3 linked regions of the Arabidopsis thaliana genome follow. The protein of the gene in region 2 interacts with the protein of the main gene of each other region in a pairwise test. Each region holds a gene or a part of one and is shown on either strand. Other genes may lie near its edges.

Evidence for each region. The genes of interacting proteins can lie anywhere in the genome.
Region 1: the proteins of PUP18 (region 2) and CLH1 interact in a protein complementation assay, tested with the Arabidopsis thaliana proteins (one large-scale study listed by BioGRID).
Region 3: the proteins of PUP18 (region 2) and RING interact in a protein complementation assay, tested with the Arabidopsis thaliana proteins (one large-scale study listed by BioGRID).

What each region holds. Positions count from the first base shown.
Region 1 is NC_003070.9:6,802,927-6,806,816, reverse strand, and holds CLH1 (chlorophyllase 1), read left to right. Parts: upstream 1-1,724; 5' UTR 1,725-1,893; coding exon 1,894-2,163; intron 2,164-2,316; coding exon 2,317-3,021; 3' UTR 3,022-3,331; downstream 3,332-3,890. Other genes in the region: AT1G19680 (RING/U-box superfamily protein), read right to left, coding at 1-198, 280-311, 578-908. UniProt on the Arabidopsis thaliana protein: Catalyzes the hydrolysis of ester bond in chlorophyll to yield chlorophyllide and phytol. Shows a preferential activity toward chlorophyll a. Does not seem to be required for chlorophyll degradation during senescence.
Region 2 is NC_003070.9:21,440,642-21,444,676, forward strand, and holds PUP18 (purine permease 18), read right to left. Parts: upstream 2,396-4,035; 5' UTR 2,232-2,395; coding exon 1,059-2,231; 3' UTR 538-1,058; downstream 1-537. Other genes in the region: AT1G57980 (Nucleotide-sugar transporter family protein), read right to left, coding at 52-91.
Region 3 is NC_003075.7:10,712,851-10,716,682, forward strand, and holds RING (SBP (S-ribonuclease binding protein) family protein), read right to left. Parts: upstream 1,896-3,832; 5' UTR 1,786-1,895; coding exon 1,730-1,785; intron 1,642-1,729; coding exon 783-1,641; 3' UTR 560-782; downstream 1-559.

The DNA of each region.
Region 1 (3,890 bases), about 15 Mb from region 2:
TTTCAATCCCAAAGTTTGACTATCAGAAACCTGCCTAAACAACTGCTGCCCAGGTGAACCTCGAGCACGTCTAGACGGAGTTGATCTGGGAGGAAGTGAATGTGTGTGAGCTGAAGGAAGATCAGAGACCGAGGTGGAACTTGACGGATTTGGTAAAACTGATGAAACAATATCTGATGAGTCAACTATATTCTTCACCTGAAGAATTAAAAGACGAGAGGGTTAAGAGACTCTGAAGGGACGAAAAGAGACTCTGATTGGAGTAAGTAATGATCTCACCTCAACACGAACAGGACTTGCCAAGGATACATCTGCCCAGAGAAAATAGATGCATGAGAGACAGGAAAAAAATCCTTCATTACAGTAAGAAAATAAAGCTGAAATGATCTCTACCAAAAAATGAAATGTCTCTCGATCTAATCCTACCAAATAAATGTTGTTACCCCTTTGACTGGATTGAGTAGACTGGAAAAGAACATCCACGAAGGAACTAAAATCGACTCAACAGTATATTCCCAAACAATGAAACTGAAAGTTCTACACTTTCCCCACAAAAAAAGTGTTTGAACGAACATACCTGAAGGAGATCGAATCGCCAAACTTGTACCCGCTAAAGGAGCTGTAACCATCGAAGCTGTGCCCATCTCTGAGTCTGCGGATTTCTGAGAGCCAAGAGTAGCTAAACCCCCAGTTTCAGATGACGGAGGTCCTCTCTCTAAGCCTAACGACAACTTATCGATGTCAATACCTCTACTCCCAACATTATGATTAGATGAATCTTTAATCTCATCAGCTACACGCCTCCTGTTGTCCCGTCGAAAACTCCACGATGGTGAACACACTGAATTATCAATAGCTCCACTGGGAACATTTCTGTCCTTTGCAGCCACACAGCAAACAGACCCCATAATCCTTAAAAGAGAGCTGTAATGAATATGTCTTACACAATCTCCATTGGTGGTGCTTCCTAATCTACCACTGAAGAACTTATCACAGTAGCAAACCACAATTCTGCATATAAACAAACAGAATGTGAACTTCGAATCAGAGCCATTATAATACATAGAGGTGAAGGCAGAGACCTCAAAATCTAACGCAGAAATCATCAATGGAACGGAATTAAAGTAAATACAATAGATGATTCTAAAATCCGGGGGTTCACCAGGGACTCACCAGAGCAACTAGGGTTCCGCAGGATTGAAACGAGGTATATGAAGATGCGGCGGAATTCGAATCCAACGGCTGAGAGAGATTTCAATTACTCGACGGAGATGGCCGCCGATCTGAGAGAGAGAGAGACGGAGGTTGGGTGCGTCGCAGGGAAATTGTGCCACGTCACCCTTCCTCTCTTCTTTTTCTGTTCTCTGTTTTTCTTGTGCTACTATTTGTTTTTGGTCAAATTTTACTTTTTTGGTCAATTTGTTTCTTTTTTTTTTACATAACAATTTTTTTTTTTTTTTTACTGAACAAACATAACAAAATGTTTTTTTTAACAAACATAACAATATGTTTCCTAATGCAATTTGATTATATTTTTTAGTAGTACTTAGTAAGTCTTGGTATGTGTTTATGGACACATCGTTTTCGGGAAACGAATTAAATTGTACTCCGAAAATGATAAATGCATGGAGTAATTGTATACCAACTAACTTGTAATAATTTGAATCAACACATGCTCTTTTGTTTACGCAGCCCATGCATTTATCGTTTTCGAAAGTATTTAATTCATTTTGTTATAACTACGATGAGAAGCCGAGAGAACCACAGAATTATAATGAATCGGATAAGAAAAATCAACATTCTCCCCCTATAAATACAAAACAACTAGCTAAAGTTCGAAGGATTCATACATAAATCTTCAACACAACTCTTTAATTATCTAGTTTAATACAAATGGCGGCGATAGAGGACAGTCCAACGTTTTCCTCTGTGGTAACTCCGGCGGCTTTTGAGATAGGCAGCCTCCCGACAACCGAGATACCGGTGGATCCGGTGGAAAATGATTCAACAGCACCGCCAAAACCGGTGAGAATCACCTGTCCAACAGTCGCCGGAACTTATCCCGTCGTTTTATTCTTCCATGGCTTTTATCTTCGCAACTACTTCTACTCTGACGTTCTTAACCACATCGCTTCGCATGGTTACATTCTTGTAGCCCCACAGGTACATAATTTAACTATACAAAAAATAATTATGAATCATTTAAAAGGATAACTTACGGTATGTAACATGTAACATGTAAAACAAAATGTACATTAATTGAGATTGATTGTTACGTGAAAAGATATAAGTTAATTTTATATTCTTGAATGACAGTTGTGCAAATTATTGCCGCCGGGAGGGCAAGTGGAAGTGGACGATGCTGGAAGTGTGATAAACTGGGCATCGGAAAACCTCAAAGCTCACCTACCAACTTCGGTAAATGCTAATGGAAAATACACCTCACTCGTGGGCCACAGCCGCGGTGGGAAAACGGCGTTTGCGGTTGCGCTAGGCCATGCCGCAACATTAGACCCATCCATCACGTTTTCAGCTCTAATAGGAATTGATCCAGTCGCAGGAACTAACAAATACATTAGAACCGATCCGCATATCTTAACGTATAAACCGGAATCTTTCGAGCTGGACATACCGGTTGCAGTGGTGGGAACCGGACTCGGACCGAAGTGGAACAACGTGATGCCACCATGCGCACCAACGGACTTAAACCATGAGGAGTTTTACAAAGAGTGTAAGGCGACGAAAGCCCATTTCGTGGCTGCGGATTACGGACATATGGATATGTTGGACGATGATTTGCCCGGTTTTGTTGGGTTTATGGCCGGTTGTATGTGTAAGAATGGGCAAAGAAAAAAGTCTGAGATGAGGAGCTTTGTAGGTGGAATTGTGGTTGCGTTTCTCAAGTATAGTTTGTGGGGTGAAAAAGCGGAGATTCGATTGATTGTGAAGGATCCTTCCGTTTCTCCGGCCAAGCTTGATCCTTCACCTGAGTTGGAAGAAGCTTCTGGTATCTTCGTCTAGATTTGTGTTATGTACTATTATCAGAGGGGTCTTGAATATTTGAAAAACCTATCAATGTTTTCTAGCTCCAAGCTAGCTATTGTTCATGTCCTAAGTTGCATGTGTATTTTTATTAAACTCGATCAAAACATTTGTTATAGTTTTACCCCAAAACTTTACAGCTTCTTCTTATACTAAAACCTAAACACATTTAAATAGCTATATAATTCTCTATATAATTCTTATATAATGAAATGTGACCAAGCTTTTCAACTTCGTTGCAATGATTCATGTAATTTGGTTTAACTCCGTCACAAACTCTATATCTTTGTAACATACCCTTATTCAAACTTTCTTGTTGTATTCTAAAGTTAATGGTATTTGTAACATATCGCAATTTCGATCTTATTTTCGTAAGGAGAAAGGAAAAATTTGCTCCTGCACTACAACATTTAATGAGAGCTCCAAACTCTACAAACAAGTCAACAATGACAAATTAATTTGGGCCTGCACTACGACAACGATACAGCAAAATGGAGACAAAACCACATTTAAGGTTTTATTGTAGGCAAATGGTCCTAAGATTGTCTGTATACGAAAGGTGCGTCGTGAGTCTCGTGACTCTTGTGTATGTGGTGGTTATTTTACTCTCGAGTTCCACGTGTGTTTGTTATAATTGTTAGTATATACGAAAGATTGTTAGTTATAACCACCAGCTGACCTGCTGAAGAAAGGAATTGAGATGAGCCGAAAAGGATCGAGTCATAAAGCTTGGACCGGTAGATATTTAAATGGGCCTAGGCCCATATTGGTCATTTACTTTCAAAGTAGATAAAACAGTTTCCCACACATCCCACTAAAGTCACATCCAAACATTACAAAAAGAAAAA
Region 2 (4,035 bases):
AGACAATAAGAATAGAAACAATTTTTACAGAAGTTAAGACAGTGAAGTTACCATGTGTTGTTGTATGTTTGGAAGCTTCGGTCATCTCCATGAGTTTTCTCTGGTGGATCTCTAAAGATTTAGATATGTAAATTTCATTCCCTGTAGATTTTCCAATTATTGAGAATGATTGAGGAGAGGCACATTAAACAATGACTAGCTAGTGGTGATTAAATTCTTTATAATAATTAGAAATATTACTAAAACTTATACAAAACCATGCGATCCTTTAGACAGATCAGATTTGGTATACTTTGAAAACGACTCATCAGTTGTGGTCCTTGAGGACATCACTAGGCTATAATTTTATTCCTAACAATCATGTATTAAACATAAGTTAACCTAATAAACTGTCAATCATGATAGAGACTAGACTACTCACTTATGGTCATGCTAAAACACATATTGAAAAACATTAATCAAATAAGCAAAAGTACATAAAGATCATTTAAAGCTCTTATATATATCTCCATAAACATAAGATCATCTCATAAAATAGTTTACATCTCTAACAGGTTCCTTCAAGAACCACAAAAGTTTCTCTTAGAACCAAATCAAGAACAAGTACACATAAGAGCTAAAAGATAAAAGGGTGAAAAATATCTCTCTTGAGTGGCAATGTGGCATGACATGTTGAAGATCCAAGGAGAGTTATAAATAAATCTCTAGAGGAAAGGAAGGAAACTAAGGGTTTTTGTTCTTACAACGTAAAAATTATAGCCTATATATAGGAAAAGACTTGTGAACCCAGGTTAACCAGCTGTGAGAAAGATTTTTTTGTATCTATTTATTAGTTATTACAATACTTTGTTGATGAAAGTAAGAGATAAATTGTAGTGACAAATCCTCATTAACAAAATATTGTAAGAGATAAATACAAAAAAAAAATCAAATCAAAATAATTAACAAATATGTTCCATAGTTTTCAGATCTATACAACATGTTTTAGACATTGACTTACAACATTCAGAAGAACAACAACATATTTTGAAACAGAAACAAACATTTGACATGAGAGACTAAACGTCAATATTGTTCTCTGTTTGGTAAAGCTCCACCATCTTCTTCTTGTTTCTCTTATGCAGAGTGTAGAAGTAAGATCCTAAAGCCACAACTGTTGCTATCAAAGTACCAATTCTAGGCCAACTAAACTCATCATCCATGAAATCAAATGCCAACACAACAAACAAAGCCACAAGTGGTGAAGTACACATATGAACAACATCGCCAAACACACCCGAAACATAAAGCACCAAACCCATCAGCCCGACCGCCCAAACCTGCCACGACAATGCCAACCCGATCAAACTCAAAACGTAATACGTTTCTCCTTTCTTAAACCTGTGGCTATCGCCTTGCAGTTCCTTATTCTCGCCACTCGCAAACAAACCCACGAGACAAACAACCGTTGCGACAAAAGAGACACAAATTTGCATCTCTATGACCATTCTAAACACTTTCTTGTTACCATATCTCTTTGTCTTTACCAACACTTTCTCGAAACAAAGTTGGAATAAACAGAGAGATAATGCGAAAGCAACTGAAGCAGCGAAAGTTAACCAAGCTTGGATGCTGTAGAATTCTTCGTTTTCATCAGGCTCTCCTCCAAATTCAGGACTACCGAAAACATAAATCAAAATGCTGCCGATTATCGATAAGATAATCCATCTGGTGAACTTAAAACGGTTAATAATGGCTGCGAAAATAGCGGTAAATATCAACTGAGTCGCGGAAATCAGCGTGAAGACGCCAAAGTTTGCGTATAATTTCCCAAGTGCAAACAATTTGCTGTGAGCAGCAACAAGAACACCAAGAGAGATGTAAAGTAAGATGAGACGAAAAGAGAGGAAACGAGTATTGGTGGTTTCTTGGTTTTGTTTTGGTGAAGGGAAAATGAAAAACAGAGGAATGAGTAGTGGAAACGCAGCGTTTTGGACCAGAGCTTGCAACCATGTTCCTCGGTATTGTAGATCTTGGTCACTATCTTCTCGATTGTCTTGAACATAGAAGAAGTTCAAGAGAAGCATGACTAGAGAATCTCCGAGCAAGACTAAGAAAATACATAAAGAAACAGAGATCCACCATTTCTTTTGTTTTAGCTCCAACGATCTTCTCGGACTCAAGATTTGGTCTGGTTCTGGATTTGCTGATCCTTCTGCTGTTGTCTGTTTGGAAGCTTCGGTCATCTCCATGATTTTTTTTCTTCTTCTTCTGGTCTCAACTTTTAAAGATTTGAAAATATGTAAATTTCATTCTCTGTGGATTTTTTTATATAGTGGTTTCTAGTTTTGATAAATGGTTGAGGAGGAGAAGTGCGCGTTAAACAAACAATGACTTGTTCCACCTTGGCGGCGATATACTTCTTTTAGATAATTAAAAAAGATCACTAAAACTTATACGTAATCATGTGATCCTTTGACAGATAAGATTTGGTACTTTGAAAATGACTCATATTCAGTTTTGGACATAAAACACAGTTTCTACTTTCAACCACGCTATTTCCGGAAAGCTATTATATACACTAAAGTTAATTTAAACGCAATATTCGGTTTGTTTATTTATTTTTTGTGTTGATTTGTAATAAATATCATAGTAAAGAATTGTGTATCGATTTGTCGATTTTAATGATGTAGCAAAAAAAATTACAAATCTTACACGGATGAGACTGATCACACCTGATCAGTGAAAAAATCTGATTTTAACTAGAAAGTTAATTTCGAAAACCAAATAAACAAACAAAAAAGTTGGATGTAAGTTGACTGCTAACAAATTTTCGGACAACAACAAAGACTTTCAAAGAAAGTTACCTATACGTCTCGTTCCTACTTTAGAGGAACAAGTTGTAATGGAGACAGTCAACTCAACGGTCAAGTCTTGCGAACTTCGCATTTTTATATTCGGGGAAAACAACGTCGAACACGCTTATACAATACATGGATATGATTCAGACAACTAAGAATAAGATGTCTTCCCAACAAATAAGAAAGCAAGCTGGATTTCAATAATTATCCATGTTCCATAATGAAGACTTGGTCTCTCAAAAAAAGAAAAAAAAAATAGTCTCTCAAACTTGTTTCGTTATTAGACTTTCGAGATATTCTTTTATTTCTTCTTATAATCGGTTAGACAATTAATCGATTAGAATTTATATTTGATGAATCAGTCTAACAATTTCAGAAGAAAGTACTTTTGTTAGAAATTTGTTATTAATTGTTTTTCGAAAATTTGTTGGAAACATGTTGTAAACTGTATATCACAATTTCTTTATTTGAAATTCTTGGTAATTATGTTGTAATTTGATGTTTTCTTTCAAAATAGATACTTTAAATCTCATTTTAGATGTGTTTTCAAAAGTCGTCAGAAATTCATCAAAAACCACAATTTTATCTATCTTCATATTTTGGACCCAATTTAAATATGGTTCTAAATCCTTCAGAAATTAGTCGGAAATCGCAAAGACACTCAGTGTTAATATACATTTAGTTTTATGCGGTGAATTTTTAGTATAGATTTAAAGATTTGTGACGAATTTTCGATGAATTTGAACATATTCATCATAATTATATATTTACACCTCAACCATTTTTCCGACAAATATATCCAAATTCATCAAAAAAAAAATAAAAAAAAATCGGTCGCTCTTTTAATTTCAAAATCATCTGAATTTAGTGTTGTTTTTGTTTCCTACAAATTAAAGATGCAATAGGTCGCTCGAACTTCTTTTTTATATATTGAACTACAGCTCCGAATATTAACAGGCCACACGCTGAATTTCTTTTTTTGGCCCGACTAATAGCTTAACTTTAGGGAGAAAATAAATAAATGGGGAAACTGTAACTTGAGATTTCCAATAAAATTGGCCGTTCAAATAGATATTTGATCGAGGGCCACAACTATGTGCTTGATCAGCTTGCGTCCAAGCACAGCTGTAGACATTTGTCTCATTCAAACCAATGTAAAACAAGAGGGAAAAAACCCCCAATATAAAACATTAAA
Region 3 (3,832 bases), on a different chromosome or scaffold from region 2:
TAACTCGTGAATTCACACATCGTATTCATCGTTCTAATTTCGTCGTTTATAGAATTAATATAGGATATAATTTTAAAAATCCATTTTAGTGGGGGTATTTTATTTTGTCTAGACATGCACTGCACATGACATGATCCGAATATGAAATATTTATTACACGACAACTATAATGACTATGAACTGAAAATGTCGTTGAGACAATCGAATTCAGACTATTTCTTTTTCTTTTATCATAATTTATTTTAGTTTCGATAGCGAAGTATGATTCTTCTGGTTGAATATAGTTGCGGGGTTGGAAAGATAAAGGATACTTCCAAATTGCAATAGTATATATCCATAGACCATTTTTATACCTTTTTCAATTTATATCGACGCTATGATAATCTTTAAAAGGTGGTAGATAATTCAAACTCATGTGATCGACTTTGAGAATAAGCAACCAAACAACGGTGCAACTTAAAAAGAACTCTGGAATATTTACTTTTCAAAACATTTTCGAATCACTTTAAATTCATTTATATGATTTATTCTTTCTTTTTTTCCCACACATAATGAGAGGAGGAGCCTTTAAATTCTCTTCGACAAATTATTTCGTCTTTCTTTTTTGCAATTTTCAGTCTTGGATTCCATTTAAGTCGTAAGAAAATCAAGAGTTAACCAAAAACTAATTTATATGTACTTACAAAAAGAAAAGAATCAATTTGCTATTTCTTTTGCGAATATAATCCTAAGGAAACAAAAAAAATATAAATTAAATTGTAACGAACAAAAAAAAAAGATGGTCAAGAAGACATGTTAACATGCACACTAGCGTTCATGACCATATCGCAAACCGGACAAGTCCGTAACAAAGCCGAACCACCACAAACCGTACACAAACACAAATGACGACATGGTAACACCAACACACTCGCTTCTCTCTCACCGCACCGTTTACAACCACCACCAACCGCCGTTACCGCTTCACCACCACCATCACCGCAACAACTTCCACAACTCGATTCCGCATCGTCTTCTACAACGGCTGAAGCGGTTGGAAACGTTTCGAGTTGAGCAAGAACTTGGTCTAGGTTTGTTCGAAGAGTATTAGCGTTTGCTTCGTTGGTTTGAGCGATATCACGCCAAATCTGATTTTCGACGTAAAGACTCTTCACCCTCTCTTGTAAAACCCAGTTTAGGTTTCGAATCCGTACGATTTCATCGTCTTTCTCTTTTAGTTTCTTGGCTATAACGTTTTGAACCGCAGACGCTAACATCCGCGTTTGCGTTTGTTGCCTTGCTTCAATCTCTATTCTTAGCTTCTCCGTTTGCTGAGCTACGAACCTATCGATCTCTGACTGTTGTTGGTTTTGAATCTGAGATACGAGTTCAACGTTTATCAACGACGGTGATGATGAGTCAAACGCTACGGACCTCCGTTTAACCGGAGCGTTTGAGTCTGAGAATTGAAAATCTCGCTGGCGTTTTGTAGACAGAGGAGGAACAGTGAAATTGTAACTGAGACCACTTTCTGCTTTGTTGAAGTTGGCTTTCGCAGCTAAAGGCTCAACGGCGAAAGATTCTCCGGTTATTAACGGAACTTCACCGCCGGTAAACTCAAACTCGCCGTGGTTCATGTTTTCTTGAAATTTAACACAATCTCTGCAAATAACAAAAATAAAAAAGATTAGAGGAAAATAAAAACAGAGGAAGTTTGTTTGTGAGAAGAATATAAAAATGAGATTTTTACCTGTTTGGTGATATAAACTGAGAGAAAATGTTCATGTGATGAGCTTGAACAGCCATTGTTGTTGAAAAAAGCTCCTAGAGATTCTGAAACAAAGAGAGAGAGAAGAGGGAGGAGTTGTGGCGACTGGTGAAGAAATCTATGGGATTGGCTTTTATTTAAGGGAGAGAAAAAAGTCAATATTTTTTTAATTTTCTATAAATACATATTTATTACTTTTACTATTTAAATATTTTAGATATTTAGAATAATTATGAATTCAAATTAGATATTGACTTTCATGGTATATTACCAATTGTGTTTAGTAATTAAAGTTTTTGTAAATTAAATGTTAGTAAAATACAGTTGATTTTTGTAAAAGGAAAAAGAAAAAGAAACAACCAATTTTATGAACTTAAAAGGAATATAATCTAGAGAAATATAAAATATACTAAGTTTTTATTCAACAATATATACTATCTTTCTTGAAGTTTGCAAATATTGGGACGTGTAAAAAGTTTTTTTTTTGTAATATTTCTTTCTTATTTATTGATGCACTCATGCATGTTTCCTTAGCAACATCCACATAAACATATGCAAGCTTGACTAGTCAAAGAGCCATTATAAAATCAATAAATTTTTTTTTGCTAATATGTTAATGATATTAGCATAAACTATTCGATTTTTTCTTTTGTTGAAAAAACTATTAGATTTTATGTTCTTGTCCATCCTTTTTTGTATTATTTCTAAAATTTAAAGATGCAAATCCTATAAAAAAAGGTGCAAAGCTGTTTTTTCCTTAAATGCATTTTTAAAAATGTGTAAAGCTGTCTTTCCTAATAAAATTTTTATGTTAGTTCACTGTATTCTCTTCTGTAAAAAGATTCCAAATTAACCTCTCTTTAGTCAACCCATATTTTTCTTATTAACTTTTCCTTATTTTGTGATTACTGTAATTAAATTTCATATCAAAAGATAGTATTAAATATGCATACTCTTCATTTCTTCAGTTTTATTTTATTTAAAATTTAAACCATTCCCATGATTTTAATTTTACAAACTATAAAGTTACTCTCGTAATTTTATTCAATGTGGCAAAGCTCCGCTTTATATCTGCCATGTCATCTTCCACCGTGGCATATTTGGGACTTGTGATTTACTTTTCTAAATTTTCCGTGAGCTATCTTAAGATCATGTAGCGGTGCATTGTATTAAACGAAATGGCACAAAACAATAATTTAACCATTGTAAATACATTTCTAAAGTTAATATGTTTCTTAATTTTGTTTTGTCGTAACTGGTTAAGTTGCACGTGAGAAGCGTGTGGGGCCATGATGTGAAGATTGAGGCCACGTCTAAGTGGGACCAAGAAAAACTTTCTGTTTCATTTCTTCGTGAAATTTTCAATAAATTAATAATTGTTTAGAAATAAATAAAAAAGATTTATTGTTTCGGTACCACCAATTTTGTTTGCTTCTTGAATTGTCGTCTGGTCGCTTTTTAATTTTTAATTAGTAATTTCCGTATTAAAGAAAAAAAAAAGGAAAGAGAAAATCGGAATCATTCGATAATGTTATATAGTACGGACAAGTAGGTCTTGTCATAAAAGTGTGATTTCCTCGGTGTGGGACAGGTCGACCACACCAAACGAATAGTCTTTTTCTTTTCCTTATTTTCGTTTTCATGCCTCTCTCTATTTTTTTTTATTGTTAATCGATTTTTTATCCACTAAACAAACATTATCATGATGCGTATCTAATGTTGTTCATACCAATTTTTACATAGTAACTTGAGCACAAAAGAGTTAATCGATTATTTTTGTTATAGTTATTGAAAAAACACATATATATTTATTAGGGCTAGACATAAGTACTCGTTACTCGTCTTATATTCGCTACTTGATTCGTATTCGCCTTGAAAAAACAAATGCTCGTTTTTAACAAGGCAAGTAACAAGTAGTATAATTTAGATACTTGCAAGTACAAATCAAGTAACAAGTAATGAAAAAAAACTAATACTCGACTCGTTTGACTCGATACTCGTCATTATTTTACCATTTTCTATACATATATTGTATTGTTTTAGTGTTAGACACATTTTAAAACTATATTAGAAGTAAAGTAAATT